Linked DNA regions of Oryzias latipes. The protein of the gene in region 2 interacts with the protein of the main gene of each other region in a pairwise test. Links are inferred from orthologs where the notes say so. Each region holds a gene or a part of one and is shown on either strand. Other genes may lie near its edges.

Region 1 (5,272 bases), on a different chromosome or scaffold from region 2:
CGTCAACGGTTGAAGAGTTACGGTAATTGAAAGAACGTCGATACTGGAGCTCAAGCTCTGGTGTTAAAGGGTTAACTCCAGGGTTGTTCAATCTGTCTGATAACTGACCTGCGCTGGCTGTTCATGCTTGAGACCTGCATCCAGCTGTCTGCCTCTGGGTTGTACACCTCTACTGTGCTGAGCCGCGATTGTCCATCATAGCCACCAATGGCATACAGCAGACCGTTAACGACAGCCACTCCCACTCTGCTGCGAGCTGTCCTCATTGGCTGGCAGCGCTCCCAAAAGTTCCCCAATGGGTCAAAAACCTCAACCAGGTTTAAGGAGTCCCCTGTGGAAGAAAGAGATCAAGGTGTACCACAGGGTTCTGTTCTTAGTCCAATACTGTTTAGTCCAAGTCTAAAGGCTTAAAACACAGAGAATCTTTAAATTATAAATTAGGTTTTATTTCATGCCTTTACAAAAGATCTTTTCTCTTTTTATTGTATTTCTTAAGCTACATTCACACTGAATGCAATTCACGTGTCAGGGGCGGCTAGTTTCAATGTTAAGTCAATGTACAGGCGCAAAAAGAGGGGCTGCGGTGCGATTTGAGCGTCGGGTATCTGTGCGGTATACGCCGCAATCTGGCGGCAGCCTATTTTGGACAGCAGGAAAATATACCATCTTAACTTTGGTGAAGAATTTGCGTCTATCAACCAATCAGAAACTAAGCTTTGGTCCGTGACGTGTTGATGATGTAATCCAGAAAATAATAAAAAAGTTGTCTAATTTTATTCTCATCTTTATTTTTTCCGTCCCCTGACTATTGCAGGACAGCAACTCGGGGGACACAGAGAGATAGAAGTCTGGCTGAAAGCGGCCATCGAATTTGATTATAGCATAATATTCAATAAAGATCTGCCTGACGTTTTAATGTTTTTCTGTAGTCCTTAAAGAGAACCTTAGTAATAAACTGGAGTTTTCTAAATGAATTGAATTTACTAAAGATGAGCAGCTGACCTGAGCTGTTCAGACCGCCAACTGCGTAGATGAGTCCTGTGATGGAGGAGCAGCTCCTCTGTCTGGTTTTAAAGGGGGGGAGATGTGGACGCCGCTGCGGCATGAGGTGGAAATCTTTAGCTTCATCGACCAAATCTCTGAGAAGAATGGATCCGTTGATCAGTGACATGCCAATCAATCAGGAAGGAATCAAAAATAAAACAAGCAGAGCAGGCACGTTTAAAGAAATATTTACCATCTTGTATAGAAAGATTTACACACCTGTGAGCATCTCAGTGCTATGGACTCACCTGCACTTGTGGCAGCAGCGAATCAGCTCGTCCTGCTGGACCCGGTCCGACAGGAACTGAGGGCGGCACAGAGGAAGTCGGATCTTTGACAGCAGCTCCGGGAGCAGGGACTCCCGCCGTTCCCGGTCGTGATAAACCCACGTTAGCACCGCCTCAAACACCTACACAGGTGTCACATACAAACCCCATCAACACACCTGAACATGGCGCCATCATGTGATTGTGACAGATGCCGTGCACCTGCACAGGTATCCCTAGGTTTCCACAATATAACCATGTGTCTTCATTCAGAAATTTTCGGCATCCCCCTCTAGATCAGTGGTCCCCAACCTTTTTAAAGCCACAGACCGGTAGGACATCATACAAAGTTTTCACGGACCGGTTTCTCAGGTGTGGGCTGACAATTAATGTAGCAACGCTATGATAAAAAAAGGATCATGGACGTAACAAGGTGAGTCCTGAGCTTTTATTTTGACATGTGTAACATTGTAATTCGCACAGCTGTCATCATCCTCTCCGATTCCCACACTCATGGTGCAAAATAGAAGTACTGTCTATCAAATGTAGCTTTCTTTTTTTCTGGAAGTGGAAGGCTCCCTCTTCTGTCTCCTGGCTGGGCGTTTTCCCCTTGGCAAAGAAACTTTCAAGACGTTTGTTTTTACTCATTTTGCTAGCTCCTGGGTTTTATTTTAGCGGTATCATATAACGTGACAGAGAAGAGCGCCTAGGCCTGCATCAAGATCGACATAGAGAATCGGGCAATTTTTCAAAATAAAACATTTTTCAGATTCTGAAATAAATAAAACGGAAGTAATACAAGTTCTTTATACTTTCCGTGCGGCCCGGTGCCAAATGAACAACAGACCGGTACCGGTCCGCGGCCCCGGGGTTGGGGACCGCTGCTCTAGAACATCTCCCATGATGCCTCTCACCTGCTCCTCTGCTTTCACGTTGAGCTCGTCACAGCCCACCAGCTCCAGCACCTCCTCAGTCCTCAAACCCAGGAACTCCTCCGACAGGGAGACGTCCACAAAGTGCTGGTGAAGGTAGCTGTTGGCTGAGTCGTACAGCGTTGTGCACATCATGGTTTCCGCGAACTGTCGAACGCCCAGACAGTTCTTGGGGTGTAACCTGACCCAGAACACAGTTACTCCACTGACAGCGGGATCTGACAGTTTTCCAGGCCAGTGCCGCGGCACTCACCTCTCCTGCAGGAAGGAGCAGCAGGCGTCTTTGACGTTCTGCAGCTGGAGAAAGCTGGAGCCGATCAGGAGAGCCTGAACGTTCTGTTGGTCGATGGCCACATGGCCGCTGTATGCAAAGTTGATGAGAGCCTCCAGAGCGCTGCAGCAAAGACACTGCTCATTCCGGTTCTGCTGACCCTGAGCATCTCATACCTGACGCCCTGCCTCCACAGCTGCTTACCTGGGGTCCATGCCCTGCATGAGGATCTCGTCCTGCTTGCACTCCACCATGTCGTTGGTGAACATGGCGTGGAAGTAAGGGATGGAGGCCGCCAGGACGATGCGATGGGCGCTGAACTTGTGATCGCCCACCTGCAGGTGGAACCTCGGGTTAGATCACCTGTTCTATGATCTGTTTCAACAGATGTTCTCAGGTTACAGGCAGCTCCAGCTGAAAGAACTGCACTCAGCATCCCAAGACAGGCGAGACTGTGACCAAGACACACCAAAATGTACCAGAGAACTACATGAAATTCATTTGAATCCGTCAAGAAGCAAAGTCCTGTTAGATCCCCTTAAAGTCCCACTCTCATCATCTTTTGAATGAAAGTAAAAATTGGTCTTTCACGTCGACTTTAGCCAAAATCTCATAAAATCTGTGTGGTTTTCTAGGACATAGTTTCTGGAGAGTAGAGCAGTAATTGGTCAGAAATTACAGTACAGTCGGTGCGGGGTGAGCCCAACCTCTTCCTGTCATCAATCGGTTTAATTCTCTTCCACTAGCTTACAGCACCGGAAAACACACCAACAGAACCTGCTTGTTCTGGTGCTGATGGTGCTGCTCTATGCTGCTGGAGGCACTGGCCACTGAAAGGTGTCGGTCACACCTTTTTGACCAGATGTTTTGAAAAATCCAATCCAAAATCTGAGCCTTCGAGCTCCTGACACCTGCTCCTTCATGGTCACGTGACCAGGTCTAGCTCAGACCCGGAAATACATGTGTACGTGTGTAGATCTGCTCCTGCTCTGAACCTGAAGCTGTCTGCAGTCACTGGACAACCTTCCTGTGACGTACCTAAGCCACTAATGCAGGCGCAGTCAAGCGGATCACCGTGATCGATCATGTGATCAGTTCTAATGCCACTTATCGATGGCGGAAACGCCCGTCCATCAGAAAGGGGGCACGTTCACACACACCTCAGTCTCAGAACCTTGCAGTGACGTCACAACCCGATCAGCTCTCGTCATAATCTGCTGTTAGCATGTTGTTAGCATGGTAGCCGGTAGGCGGACTGGCCTCAAACGAAGGGAGTTTTTACCTTGAGTGTGACGTCACAGAGCTTGCCCTGACGCCGGATCTCCTCCATGACGACATAGCCTCGCGCCGGCAGGTCGTGCACCGAAAAATGAACTAAATCCTCGAGCTCTTCGCAGAGATCGTCTCCCATCGTCAGCGGCTGCGCGGACTGACCCCTGCGAGCCACCGTACCTGCTGCGGCTGCGCAGATGGAACCCTTCGAGATGCCGTAGCAACCGCGCGCAGCGCACAGTTGACAGGCTGAGACCGGCAGCCATCTAAGTACTGTATCTATTATGAGCCCAGTTTTTAAATACATTTTCACATCCATCTTTTCCTGCTTATCCAGAGCTGAGTTATGGGGGCAACAGTCTCCATGAACACAAATACAACCTTCAGTTCTACAGGAGGAACTCCAAGGCATCCCAGACTCAGGCCCTCTAGTCATGGGGGCCTCCTCCCAGTACAAACCCCCTGAGGGACGCATCGGTTAGCAATATGACCTCGCTGTTGTCTTCTCTTACTGAGATGCAGCAGTGGAATTTCTCCAGCTTCCTCCTGTGTGACGAGCTTTGATTAATCATGAATACTTTTACTTTTAGTGGCCTCTATAGGATTTTGCTGGTTAATTGACTTGTTTGCAGCTTCTTGGCAAACTCAGAGACCCCCAAAGGTTGTGTATCTGTCCATAATGTATGGAATTTTGACTGTATAGGAGAACTGGAATGAGTGAGTGTCACGTCAGCCACTGAAAATGGTTTACTTCTGGCTCCAAGTGAATGAAGTCCATTTAATCACCATTTTTCGCAATTCGGAGGTCACCATACTGGAGCCTGACAACATCAGTAAGCAGTGATCGGTCTGTGTTAGTCTGAGTCAATGTTTCTATGGCAACCGCTTTCAGCAATCCGGAGAGAGCTTGTTGGAAGTCCACACTCCTTCCACCTGAAAGTGGGCTCGGGAGAATCTGTCAATCAAATGTTCCAAACGTTTGATGAGAGACCACATACTTTTACTGAGGCATTTGATTGGTCAGTTTATAACTTGCAATAAAAGGAAAAAGAATCATGAAAAAAAGGCTACAACATGCAAAAAAATGTATCAGAGCAAGAATGGTTATTCTGAAAAATAGAATGACTGAGAAGGAGCTTTTAGGTTTTCTATAGACGTCTATTGGAGCTTGGCTTTGACCAGCAGGTACTTCCTGTTTGGAAGATGAGGGGGGGGGGGGGGGGGGTAGCTCACTCCAGTTCTCATTCACTGTCAATGCACACAATCAATGGGACCGAAGCAAATTATGGCCCATCAGGAAAAAGAAATTTCAACATCAATTTCAGTTTTAACTTTTTTTTTTGAGAATTAACACAAACAAACAAACAAGGATTCCAGGGGCCTGTTTCAGAAAGGAGGTTCAACCAACTCTGAGGTTAAACTTGAACTCTGAGTTGGTCAATCGAGAGATTAACAACTGTGAGTTTTTCTGTTTCAGAGAAGCTGAT
Region 2 (6,613 bases):
CATTTCTGATCTTACTTTTTCAACAAAATAAACTTTACTATCAGTTATAACACATAATCCAGAAACCGTTTGAAGGGTGCAGCTCCTTTGTGTTGATCAAATAGATATACAGAATAAGCCTACTAAACTTATCCCTGCATTTGATCCACCCTTTGGACAAACCAGTTTTAAAAACCAAAACTGCAACACATTCACTTCAAGGGATGAGTCTAAAAACTAAAGGGTTGGTGCCATAGCAACATCACCATTTAAGTTAAAAATTGATTTGAAAATAAATGAAGAAATCACCAAAAATATCAATGCTTAGAACAAGTTCTTAAGCGAAGAGTGTTATGCACAAATTTCTAATTAAAATGTTACACTAAAATCCCCTACATGGTCTCCTTTATCTTCGTGTTACTGACTAAACAAACATTCCACTACTTTTATGGAAGATGCAAAAAGTAATGAATTGACAATACACCAGCCAACCCCTTTGGTCTCACCTGTAATAAGGTTGCAGCTCTTGAAGGTAAGTGTGAGTTCTTCTGGGTATTTGTACTGACTGTACCAGATGGAGTAGCCCTCGCGGTCAAAGTGCTCCCAGAAGTGAGGAATTGCTACAGTCAAGGTGTCCTCGTTGGAGTACTTTCTCTTGAACTCGTCAAAGACAAATGTGCTTTTAAAACAGAAACAAACAACACGGAGATCATTGTTCTGCTCTTAACTAAAGCAGAATTAAGACAGCAGACCATAAATGCAATTACAAAAACATCAAAACGAAGCCCAACATGATGAATGTCTACCATTGTTTTACATTTACAACAAACAAATGTCAAAATAAATGTACCATGTTTCAGCATGACTTTACCGTTATCCCAACACCATTTCACATTAACCAGATTTTGTCCCATCAATGCAAAATGTGAGGATGTGAAAGTAAAATAAAATCAGAGGTAATCTCAGGTTTAATGCACTGAATGCTTTTGATATACAACATGTGGCCACAGCATGAACCAGCCTTATACCCACTGAAATAGAGATGACTGGGATGAATGTGGTCTTTTCTTTCTTTTCCCCCGTCTGATTAAGACGTAATGCCATGATTGGACACAGTCTTGCCCAATCACAGGGGATAGAGTACTCCAATTACACGTTTGAAACCATCTATAACTACTGGTACAAAGTGATTGAATGCAACACTGGACACTGGGTACCTTTTTGGCAGGTGAGCAAAGGGATCCTTTGCTTTAGGCTCTGCAGCCAAAACAGCATCACAGTCATCCATTTCTTCTTCTGGGTCAGGCTTGCTCTCCTCCTTTTTCTTTTCCTTCTTCTCCTGGGGCTTGGCTGCCTCTTTTCCTCCCTTCTCTTTTTTGGCAGGTGCTTCCTTCTTAGGTTGCATTTCAGCAAACTTCTTTGCTAGAAGAAAAGCACGGCATGGATTATTCTATGAAGAAGATGCTTGAGTCAGATTATTAAAAAAAGTTGGAAAATGAAAAGATATCTTCATGTTATGTTTGGATTAACCAGTGACGAGCATGCACCCTGCATGACCAGATGTTTCTGCTTTATTCAAACTTTAGTAACCATGTTAAAAGTTTAAACAATAAAGCTTTCCGGGGGGAACATAAGAGATGTCAGTTCACCTTTGAAGCCAAATGTTGTGCAATAAAACTTATTGGTATACAAAGGGAAAATAGTTTTTAAATGAATCCAGGGTTCTAACAAGTACATTCTTGTTGACTCACCATCAAACTGTGCCATCTTTTCACACAGCTTGACATCCCCGAGGACGGCCTTGAACTGGGGCTGGTTGACACAGGTGACAAACCAGCGGGTCACGTTAACATAGGGCTGGCGGAAGGAAGGCTCCAAGACCTACAAAAGATAAAACAGGTCAGCTCATTTATGGAAAACACACCAGCTCAAATAATGCTGGAGGTTCCACTTAACACAGTGAAAAGTGTCAAGCTGCATACTTGTTTGTAGAGCCAGAGCAGGGAGCAGGCCACCGTGATGTCCGCAAGGCTGATTCTCTCACCCACAAGGAAAGTGCGAGTGTTCAGGTGTTGGTTCAGGACGGTCAGGATCTTCTTTACATCTTCTTTGGCCTGCTCTGTGGCCTACACACCAAAAAAAAAAAAAAAAAAAATAGTTTAAAACTTAACAGTTAGCCAGTGATTTAGAATCATGTCACAATAACCAAATAATCCAGAAAATAAAGACTTGCATACCTGCTTGTTGAACTGCATAATTCCCAAAGTAGGGAAGACCCATGTGCTTGCTGGAGGGATGATCTCAGAGTCAGCAAAGCTCACCCACTGCAGCACTTGCGCTGCTGCCTGAGGCGTGGCACCGCGCAGGGCATCATTGCTCACTGTAGGCCACAAGCCAGAAAAACAACCGGTTGATCTTTGAAAACCAAAAGCCTCATACAAATTCAAGACAAATGAGTTTCCATGGAATGAACAAAGCAGTTAGTGGATTTATGAAAACACGAAATTTAAACAATTCATAAAACCATACTGCAAAACCCCCAAATTTAGCAACATTTGCTAACAAGGCTTCACTATCGTTTTGCCTCAACTCAATAGAATTGATTTAGAGAATCTGGATAACAATTAAAGCAACCTGTTCTGACCGTTTAGAGAGACTAAGAAGTAAAAAAATGTGACTTACAGTAGTGAGCAATGGCATTACTCTCAAACAGACAGAAGCCGTCATCTCCCTGGTAGGCAGGTACCTAGAACCACAGGATTTGATGCTGTGTGAAACCCAACTAGTTAATGAGGAAAAGAACAAGACTTGAATGTGACTGAGCTGCCCTCACCTTGCCCAACGGGAAGTTATTAATAAAGGCAGGGGTACGGTTCGTCTGTCCGAAGGTGAAGGCAGGGGGGGTGCTGGCGATTTTGATGCGAGCACCACTGTACTGGGCAGCGATCTGGGCTTTGAAGGCCCGCCAGTTCTCCGGGTATGTGTAGATAGTCTGAAATACAGGAAAACTTCTATCAGCTTGTGACTAAATGTATTGAATCCATCTAGTTATGCAATCTCTGTGCACGTTTCTATGATTAAACTGCTTTAATGCAGGTCCAAACCTAATTTAAACTGTATTGTTTCATATGAGAAAAGGTTTAGACTGAGGTAATGTGATAACGATGCCAGCTGTAGCTAATCCTGGCTAATGAATGAGCATATCAGAAACGGAGCACTTTTAAAAAAGATTTTACCAAAAGTAAATACATATGGAATACCAATAGGCTGAAACGCCTCTTAAACTTAAGTGGCATGGTTACATTGTTTTAGAAACAAACTAGAAGTAAGCTAGCTTAGCGCGACTTGTGCTTTTTGTAAGACTAGCAAACCACATCTGATCTGTTCACTTATTTGATTGGTTCGATCAAAAGAATAAAGAGGATCTGGGGATTTTTGTTTTAATCATTCTAAAAAATGCGTCGGTCATAAAGTGGCATGGCCACGGAAAATTTAGGAGCATCATCCCCAGTCTCACGAAATATTGTAACGTGGCACAACCGAGTTAGCCATTAAACAGGCAGGATTGTTAGCGTCTTCTTAAATATAAATGACAAATAAACCCTCTACCAACTAAAAAACAGCAACATGGTCTAATGTGTCTATTAAACGACACAATAACAGAGCAGATGACATAGATACGAGACGGATTGTGACGAAAAGGTTGAAAGAAAACTCCATTGTTGGCCTCCTCTCCATCTTACTCACCCCTGCCGCCATCTTCAGGACGAGAGAAAGAAAGAACGACGGCGCACATCAGTGACGTATTTACGACCGTGACACGTGCCCATCCATTTTGCTGCGCACGTGACTGAGTTTTCAAGTGTTAGAAGATAAATATTGGACACTCCAACAAATACTTTGTCGACGTATGTGATTAAAAAAATGATACAAAGATAAACGAAAAAGTTAAATCTTTTATTACAAAGTACAAAAATGATACAACTAAATTTGAAGGTATGTATTCCACTTAAACCAAATTTATATATATATAAAAACACAAAACTGCAGAATTAATCTCTTGACACCAATTCAACTAACTAAAATAAAGAATGTTAATTTATTGGAAAAAAAACAGCAAGGCTTTGACTAAATCCTACCATAACATGAATATAAATCATGAAGTTATTACTACATAAATTGTCCCAGGTGGTGAGCACTCAGCTGAAAGAAATCAGCTCACGAGACCTTAAAAAAAAGAAAAAGCCAGGGTTAGTTTGATATAGAATCTGTAAACGGCATAATATATATATATATATATATATATATATATATATATATATATATACACACTTCATTATGTGCATTATTCTGTAACCGTGTGGACGGCCTGAGGATGACTAATTTGAACATTGTTTATGACTGACAACATCAGCACAATCTCCACCCGAGTTAGACAACAATTAAAATAATCAATTATAAATCGAACAGTGCTTCTGGTGTTCGACATTTTGACTGAGAAAATGCTTCAGGTTATAGAATTTTTTATTTTTTTTTAATTGTAGATGAACGAGTTGGGCTGGGTGGCAGTTTGGGTTACGCTAAGTTTGCCTTCAAACTTAAGTTAAAATTATATTTTTTATTCAGCAAAGCATTTGTGTTACCAACGTGTGAAAAGTGTTTTAAAAAATAATTTGATTTATGACCTATATCACTTAAGCATGATTATGCATATTCAATGAGTTTTGGTCCGTTTTATTTAACAAGAAGAGCAGCCTCTTTCGTGAAATTTATTTTGAATTCTTCTCTTACATTTGGACAATATTTTATTGCTTATTAATGCCATTTATATGCAATTTACAAACTGAAATCTGACAGATTTACTTTCTGAGTAATACCTTTTCAAATAATAATCACTGTGATTTAAAAATATGAAAATATTATTGACCAAATGTTACCATTAAATCATAATACTGCATTGAAAACTGTACTAAAACAAATGACAATTGTATACTGTGAGGTATCAATTGCGTTGAAAATGTACTGTTTATGGTAAAGAATCACTGAATATTTGGAAGAATTAATAAGTTATCTATTTTGTGAGATAAAGGAAGTTGAAGATCATTTTAAGAAGGTCCTTCATGTAAAACTAAATCCTAAACTTCAGTGTATAAAATGTTGTACGTATGTTTGAATATTAGAATTTCCAAATGCTGGCACTGAATGAATTTGATGACAGTTAAGAAAAATAATACAACACGAATGAAAATAAATTTTAATTTAAAATAGTAACCAAACATATTTTAGATTCTAAAGTATGTGTTCTTTTTATATAAAGATCATCATCGTCTAGTTATGTTGTTGTTTGATTGAAAAAAAAAAAAAAATAATTCTGACTTGACATTTAATACTCACCCAAATAATCATCCATCAGAGATCCGATGGCAAACTAGAAAACAAAGAGGAAACTTGTTTCAATGAATAGTTTTGCACAATTCTTTACATGGGTATTTCGACAAGCAGATGTTTTAGTGAGGTTGCTTTTATTGTAATCAGGCTTTTGACTAACTGTCAAACCAGATCCTGCTGTATTCAAACTAAGCTTGTTGTTCTTCTTTTAAATGGTTTGAAAAAACACCAGAAAGTCAAAGAAAGGAACATTACAAGAATCCATATGGACCTAAAGTCCCAATCCAATCATCTTTTGATCTATTGTTAAATTGTTCCCAGTGGTCTTTTCATTAGGATTGTGCTGCTTTTGGCCAAAAAAAACAACAAAAAACTGTGATGTTCTCTGGGACATAGTTTCTGCCGAATGGTAGGAACCTTCATCAGAGATTCACCTCTGAGTTGTCAGCGGGACTATTGGTGCAAAGTAATCCTGCGCTAATTTCGTATCAATCCTCCGTCTACACTCTTTCCCACTAGCTTACAGCCCCAAGATGACAATAGTGCGAGGAATTTTTGGAGCTATCCAGTCCTGGCAGCTCAGTCAAGGAAAATGAAGATGTTAATGGATCTGTGTCGCTACTGGTCAAAAGATCAAAAATAATATTTATGGAAAAAACTTACAATGTCATTCTTGTCCACTCGTGTTCCCACAATCTTCAGTCGAATCTCATCATCTTGCTGGATTACAATGTCCTAATAAACACAATAAGAAATGTTCATTAAAATCAAATGTATCACAAGGATTAAAAACTGAAAGAGAAAAGTAGCCTTCAATGTCTCTGCATGCTAAATCTACTATTGCATAAAACAGACAGAGTAATGACACATACCTCGTCAACTGTTTTATAGCAAGGTGGATTGGAGTTGGGATCAAATTCCATTTCTGAAGGGATCGACTGGGAGAATAAAAAAACAATAAAATACACAAACAATAATATAAAAACATACCTACATATTAGGTCAAGATATATATATAGTAAAGTGTTAAATGTTACATAAACTTACATGGCGAGAAATGAAGCAGGACATGGGACCAATTTCTGTGAACAAGCCAACCTGCAAAGAACCCAAATTTTGTTAAAGGAGGATAGAAAATGTATTTAAAGAGACTGGAATTCAGAAAAACAATTCATGAATCTACGTTTTCCATGTGAAAAACAAGCGTTCAACAAAAGGATCTATTCCATGGCAAACATCTTAGAAA
Region 3 (5,457 bases), on a different chromosome or scaffold from region 2:
GATTGTTCATCACTGCGGAGTGGCCCTTCAACGAACCATAGACTGAGATTAGCAGGGCTTACTACAGTTTCACTAAAGAAATGGTTTCAAAATGTTTGTACACACACACAACAAATGTGCAATATTGTTTATGCTTAATTGAAAAAAAAAATGCGTTATGGAAAAACTAAATGTCAGTTCCTGCATCCTCTTAACACGTGATTCTTGTGCTTGTGTATTTTTCAGTGTGATTTACCAGCAGGTCAATAATCCAGGGGGTGAGGGGTTCAAATCCAGGGAAGCGCAGTCGGAGATCTTTCAGGAGGCGAATCAGAACTTTGACCCTGAAGATCATCAACGTGCAACAGTTCACAGATACTCATCACACGTCAAGAAACACAAAGAGAGACGAGCGGGGCGCTCACGTCGACTGAGAAGCGTTCTCCTCAAACCAGCGGGCGTGGCGGATGGCAGCCAGAGCACTCTGCAGCACTCGGATGTCCACTAGAAAGAAAAAAAACGAGCATTTTTGTGGTGGTAAAGTGAATGTGTAGAGCCTCCAGAACATCAAACCTCCACCAGAATTATGGATACATTGACAGCTCCACTCAAGTTTCTGAACCCACAGATGTTTATTTGACAGATGTTGGGAGAGGTCCAAACTGTAAGTCTACACCGATTTATTGTAAAATATCAACACTATAAGTTATGAACTTTTCACTCAGACAGAAACACCAATCTGCTAAATAATTGGTTCACTATAAGAGCCGAAGAAATCAAAAATTTAAAGAATTAAAACAATAGATTTTCATCAACAAAGAATCATTTGTCAAACTTTAAAGTCAACAAGAAGTAGATGATTGCTCAGACCACATTCTTCAAACAACATTGATCAATTATTTCACAAGCCTGCCTCATTCCTATAAAAGTGCTGTGCGGGTGTGCGCTCTCTTACGATGTAACTCTGGATCCAGTTTGCGCAGGTTGGGTGGAACGGTGGTGATGAGAATCTTAACTGTAGCATCAGCCGAGCTTATTTCAAATCCGGTTTCATTGGTCAGCATGGACAGAACTGATAGGAGGAGCACACGCAGAAAAACAACAGTTTTAGTCACCCACAGTTAAACACAGTTAACAGAAAAGAACAACACAAATCAGCACAGGGTTGGGGTATTGAGCATCTGTAAGCTAGCAGGATAGCGTGTGGACAAAAGTGACGATAGGAAATAAGCGGAGGTTTACTTCCGCGCCCCACCCACAAGTTAGAGGCGAGTTTCAGATGAACTATTGCCGCTCTGCAGAAAATGTCCTAGAAAACAGCAGGTTTTTAGAATTTTGGCTAAAAATTCTATAACCATAATTAAAAGACCACTGGGAACGATTTTACAATAGATCAAAAGATGATTGATGTAGGACTTAAATTATTTTTTATGCTTTAAAAAAAGTTCCTGCAAATCTTACAATAGCTTTAATAAATTTTCAGAAGCAATTTTTAGGGTAAACTTGTAAATCACGTTGATGCTTTAACTCATTGAAGGAGATCTCTGTGATTTACCTTCAGTAGGGTCCTGGGTGCGGAGAGTTTCCACAACCTTGTTGCCAAGAGCAGCAACAGCCTCCACTAAAAAGAACAAAATTATATTTGGACATAAAGACACAATTTTTCACAACCATTAAATGTGACTAAAAAACATCATTCAAGTTTGAAAAAAAATATTTAAGGAGAAATTCAGATTCGGTGCTGATGCACTGGGATGTTTGATGCATCAACAACATATATGAACCATTCTCATACAGTCGATCAGACAAAAGAATCTGACAACATCCGGATGAGAAACTCATGACCTACATGTTGGGAGGATCTTCAGGATGACTACAAGGTCTGCAACATTGTGCCCAGTAGTCATGGTTCCCTTCTTATAGGAACCCACCTGACGGACTTCTTCAATTTGCTGTCAAGAGGCACAAAAAAAACAATTATTCATTGTTGTGGGTCATGGATTGTGACAGAAGGCTGTGATTGAATTAAAGATACTTCAATCAGTCTGGTTTTGCCTAAAATAAAAATGTACCGGCAGTATCCCTCATATTTCACCTCATTGTTAAAAATGTATCTACATGTTCATTGAAGCTGCTTTAGTCTGTGGACCAAAGGTTCTTCAAATGGGACCAAAGGTTCTTTAGTGGAGCAACTCACCACTTCAAAGTTTCCAGGAGCAACAATAAGGTTGTCAATGACGTTGTTGATCTTTGTGACCAACGACAAGATAGAGGACTATTATAAAAAAAAAAAAAAAGGGAACAAAATGTGTTAGAAGCACATATGATGATGATGATGAAAGTTCCTGGGCGAGTCCGAGTCAGACCTGCTCTGCTGGCGTGGGGCTCAGGTCCTGGTTTCTCTTCAGGAGACACTCGCTGAAGGTCGTCTCATCAGAAGCAGGCTTCACTCTGGGGAAGGCCATCTCGCACTGGTGGAAGAAAGGAGTGAAAGTCAAGACTCACACTTATTCTGCATCGATATTCCAGCTATGTTCACTTGTTCTCACCACGTAGAAGTCAAACGGGATGTGTGGGACAAACGGGCGGTACCTGCATAAAAAATGATTAAATTAAGCATACGTTCATATGTAAACATTTATATCCCAAGATTTAAAGTGCATAAAGTGGAGATTTTAACTACTCACTTTAAGCTCAAACCTTCTCACTGTTACATCAGACACATGCTATATGGCAAAAGTAGCCACTCATTTGACTTTACACGCATGATCATAAGTTATAATCCATTTGTACTCCACATCATCTTCATCCATGTCTTTATGGGCCTGCTTCTAGCAGTGGTGCACAGTCATGGTGCTACCAGGAAGCAACATTTCTAAATTTTTAAATCTCTTGGTGTCCTACAGCATTCAGACTTCCTTTCACTTGAACTGGAAGGGGTGAGAACAGCTTCTGACAACTGGAATTCACTGATCTCCTGGGATGGCAACATCCCTTAAGATGTTTGCAGAAGAACTCATTTTATGCGTCTGTGGCCATGGAAATGACTGGAATGCCACAATTTAATTATTTGAATAAGTGATTTAATACTTTAGGCAATACTTTCGTAACATGGGCAACACTGCTGTTGGTTTTTCAAAGTTACAGGTCGGGGGGGGGGGGGCATCTTTAGTCATCAATCTATTTAGAATATTAGATTTTTTTTTATCCTGAGTGTTCTTAGGTTACAACAATCCTAGCATCATGGTCCTCTACTCCAGCTAGCCCCGTTCATCTTGATTCTGATCCTCAAGAATTAGGTGTCCAGTTTCTGACAGACTAGAGACATATAAGTAATCAGCAAGCTGGCTCAGAGGGTTGTTGAAAGGAAAATGTAGGGGGCAGAAAAGCTTGCCAACACGAACCGATCAGACTTTGTTTTCTGAAAATGTTTGGGAAACAGACACTAACCCCTGGACCAGGCCTCCGCGGGCTCCGAAGCGCCCTCCCCGGCCTCTTCCGCGGTCTCCTCTGCACAGAAAGGGAACAGATGATAAAACAAAAATGATTAGGCCACATAGTGACATACACACATAATCTGATGGGAGCTAGTGGTCTGCACGAAGAATGATTATTGACATTAATTCACACAAATAAGTATATAAATAGCCTAAAAACAAAACTGTGTACGAAAACGCGTGAATTTATTCACAGAATTGGCTCCTAAACTAAAAAAAAAAAGAGTTGAAACACATGAGGGAAACGCTGCTTAACTTACAGGTTATTATGCTAACGCGGCTACAGGCTGGACACAAATCAAAATACAACAACAAGAGCAGCGTGTTCAACCACCGACGCCAATAAAATGAATAAATATATGCTTACCTCATCGTGTAAGACGTTTTGATTCCGAAAATATAAAACAAACGAGAAGAATTAAGATTTGCAGCTGCTGCAATGAAGGCGCAGAACCGGACATAGACTGGGGCAGCGCTAGTGAAACTTCCGGTGAGGAAAGGCTCACAGCACACTGCTGCCCCTACAGACCAGGAGTTAAAAGTGCAACCTCTTTTATTTATATAGCTTTTTTATTGAACATTTTCAGAATATAATATAAAAATGCAACATTTACAACAGTACAATATTTTTTAATTTGCCCTAAAATAAGCGATGTGACATTTCACTATAACAACGATTCACATATTTTGTGGTTGCTGATCCGATTCACTTTCGATATTGGTTCATTTTGAATGATCCAATTTGATCTGATTAACTGACTAACCTAAAGTTGATCCAGGACATCTTTGGGCAAACCTTCAACCAGTGTGGCTTAAGACATAAATACTGAACAGTGCAGGGGAAGTTTTCATCAAAATCACATCAAAATAATACAAACAGAACATTATTAGAACATTCTAGCACACTGTTTGGTCACATGTCTGTGTTTTGTTTCCACACATTGGATCATATTGACGGACTGATCTTTTTTTATTTTAACTTGACCAACAGCTGAGCTAGCAGATCAGAACTGAAGATCTCTTGTTGGACAGATTTTACTGTTACAATAGGGGTTTATGGATCTTCAGACAAACAACAAACAGAGTGTAGATTTGTATAAAACCCCTTTTTTGTATTTGAGGCTATAAGCATTATTTATGATAATTATTTTTGTATGCGATCTATGTTGAATCAGACGGAAGAAAACAAGAAAGAAAGAAAGAAATAGAGTGGGATGTTGGAGACAGGGGATGAGGGGTTAGATAATACAAGGTCAAAACATACGAGTGTCATAAGTAAATTGCATGACTTAGTTCACACATCAACAAATTCTCTGCACATCTATTTACAGATTGGAAGTATATTCCTACATTCATGATGGAAGATTTATCCCACAAGACTTTCGCACACAGACAGGTCCACACAATATTTGTATCACCAATATTCTTGAAGAGGGGTGTAGAAACAATGCTGGATCATTTTTTGCTGACATCATGTGTGTTGTCCGCTGTGATTGCACTTGGTCATTTTTACAATATAGTAACACAAACTAACCAATCAAAATGTGATTTTCAAATATTAATAATCAATTTCTTTCATTTTTAAATGACTTTATAGTATAGATTGATTTGATTCGATAAACAACTTGCCTCAGATAGATCAATCTGGTTGGATCGTACGAATAAAAATTAATTCATCGAGTCGTTTAATTGTTACACCCCTACTTAAAATGAAATAAAATGAACAGGTCTGCACTTGTGTCCTCCTCTGGAGTTTTGTTAGCAATAAGAAACATGAAAAGACTATTGAATGCATTTCTTGTGAGGTTTAAGTAATGTTACTAGTTCTGGAAAGAAAACAGGGAAATAATTATTTCTTCTACGTAAATGTGGTTTCTTTTTGTACGTTTAACAAACAAACCTTAAACAAAATAAAAATAAAACTCAACTTTTTTGAGCATGACTCTGATGTGGGTCCAATCTCCTCTTTTTGAAAAGGTTT

The links. The genes of interacting proteins can lie anywhere in the genome.
Region 1: the proteins of eef1g (region 2) and klhl18 interact in binary tests that used the Homo sapiens proteins (3 or more experiments, as listed by UniProt). The two-hybrid records come from large-scale screens. The link is inferred for Oryzias latipes from reciprocal best matches to the Homo sapiens genes EEF1G and KLHL18.
Region 3: the proteins of eef1g (region 2) and ilf2 interact in a two-hybrid assay, tested with the Homo sapiens proteins (2 studies listed by BioGRID and IntAct). The two-hybrid records come from large-scale screens. The link is inferred for Oryzias latipes from reciprocal best matches to the Homo sapiens genes EEF1G and ILF2.

What each region holds. Positions count from the first base shown.
Region 1 is NC_019875.2:12,844,300-12,849,571, reverse strand, and holds the start of klhl18 (kelch-like protein 18), read right to left. Parts: upstream 3,978-5,272; 5' UTR 3,925-3,977; coding exon 3,796-3,924; intron 2,849-3,795; coding exon 2,718-2,848; intron 2,637-2,717; coding exon 2,496-2,636; intron 2,424-2,495; coding exon 2,225-2,423; intron 1,454-2,224; coding exon 1,293-1,453; intron 1,140-1,292; coding exon 1,003-1,139; intron 332-1,002; coding exon 109-331; intron 1-108. UniProt on the Homo sapiens protein: Substrate-specific adapter of a BCR (BTB-CUL3-RBX1) E3 ubiquitin-protein ligase complex required for mitotic progression and cytokinesis.
Region 2 is NC_019868.2:13,732,808-13,739,420, forward strand, and holds the start of eef1g (elongation factor 1-gamma), read right to left. Parts: upstream 3,816-6,613; 5' UTR 3,739-3,815; coding exon 3,727-3,738; intron 2,972-3,726; coding exon 2,813-2,971; intron 2,726-2,812; coding exon 2,662-2,725; intron 2,360-2,661; coding exon 2,217-2,359; intron 2,106-2,216; coding exon 1,962-2,105; intron 1,861-1,961; coding exon 1,731-1,860; intron 1,402-1,730; coding exon 1,197-1,401; intron 659-1,196; coding exon 486-658; intron 1-485. Other genes in the region: polr2g (DNA-directed RNA polymerase II subunit RPB7), read right to left, coding at 4,193-4,206, 5,374-5,407, 6,031-6,102, 6,240-6,305, 6,415-6,465. UniProt on the Homo sapiens protein: Probably plays a role in anchoring the complex to other cellular components.
Region 3 is NC_019869.2:21,696,313-21,701,769, forward strand, and holds the start of ilf2 (interleukin enhancer-binding factor 2), read right to left. Parts: upstream 3,978-5,457; 5' UTR 3,849-3,977; coding exon 3,844-3,848; intron 3,490-3,843; coding exon 3,430-3,489; intron 2,572-3,429; coding exon 2,529-2,571; intron 2,451-2,528; coding exon 2,346-2,450; intron 2,255-2,345; coding exon 2,177-2,254; intron 1,932-2,176; coding exon 1,829-1,931; intron 1,601-1,828; coding exon 1,535-1,600; intron 1,052-1,534; coding exon 935-1,051; intron 484-934; coding exon 405-483; intron 324-404; coding exon 236-323; intron 26-235; coding exon 1-25. UniProt on the Homo sapiens protein: Chromatin-interacting protein that forms a stable heterodimer with interleukin enhancer-binding factor 3/ILF3 and plays a role in several biological processes including transcription, innate immunity or cell growth.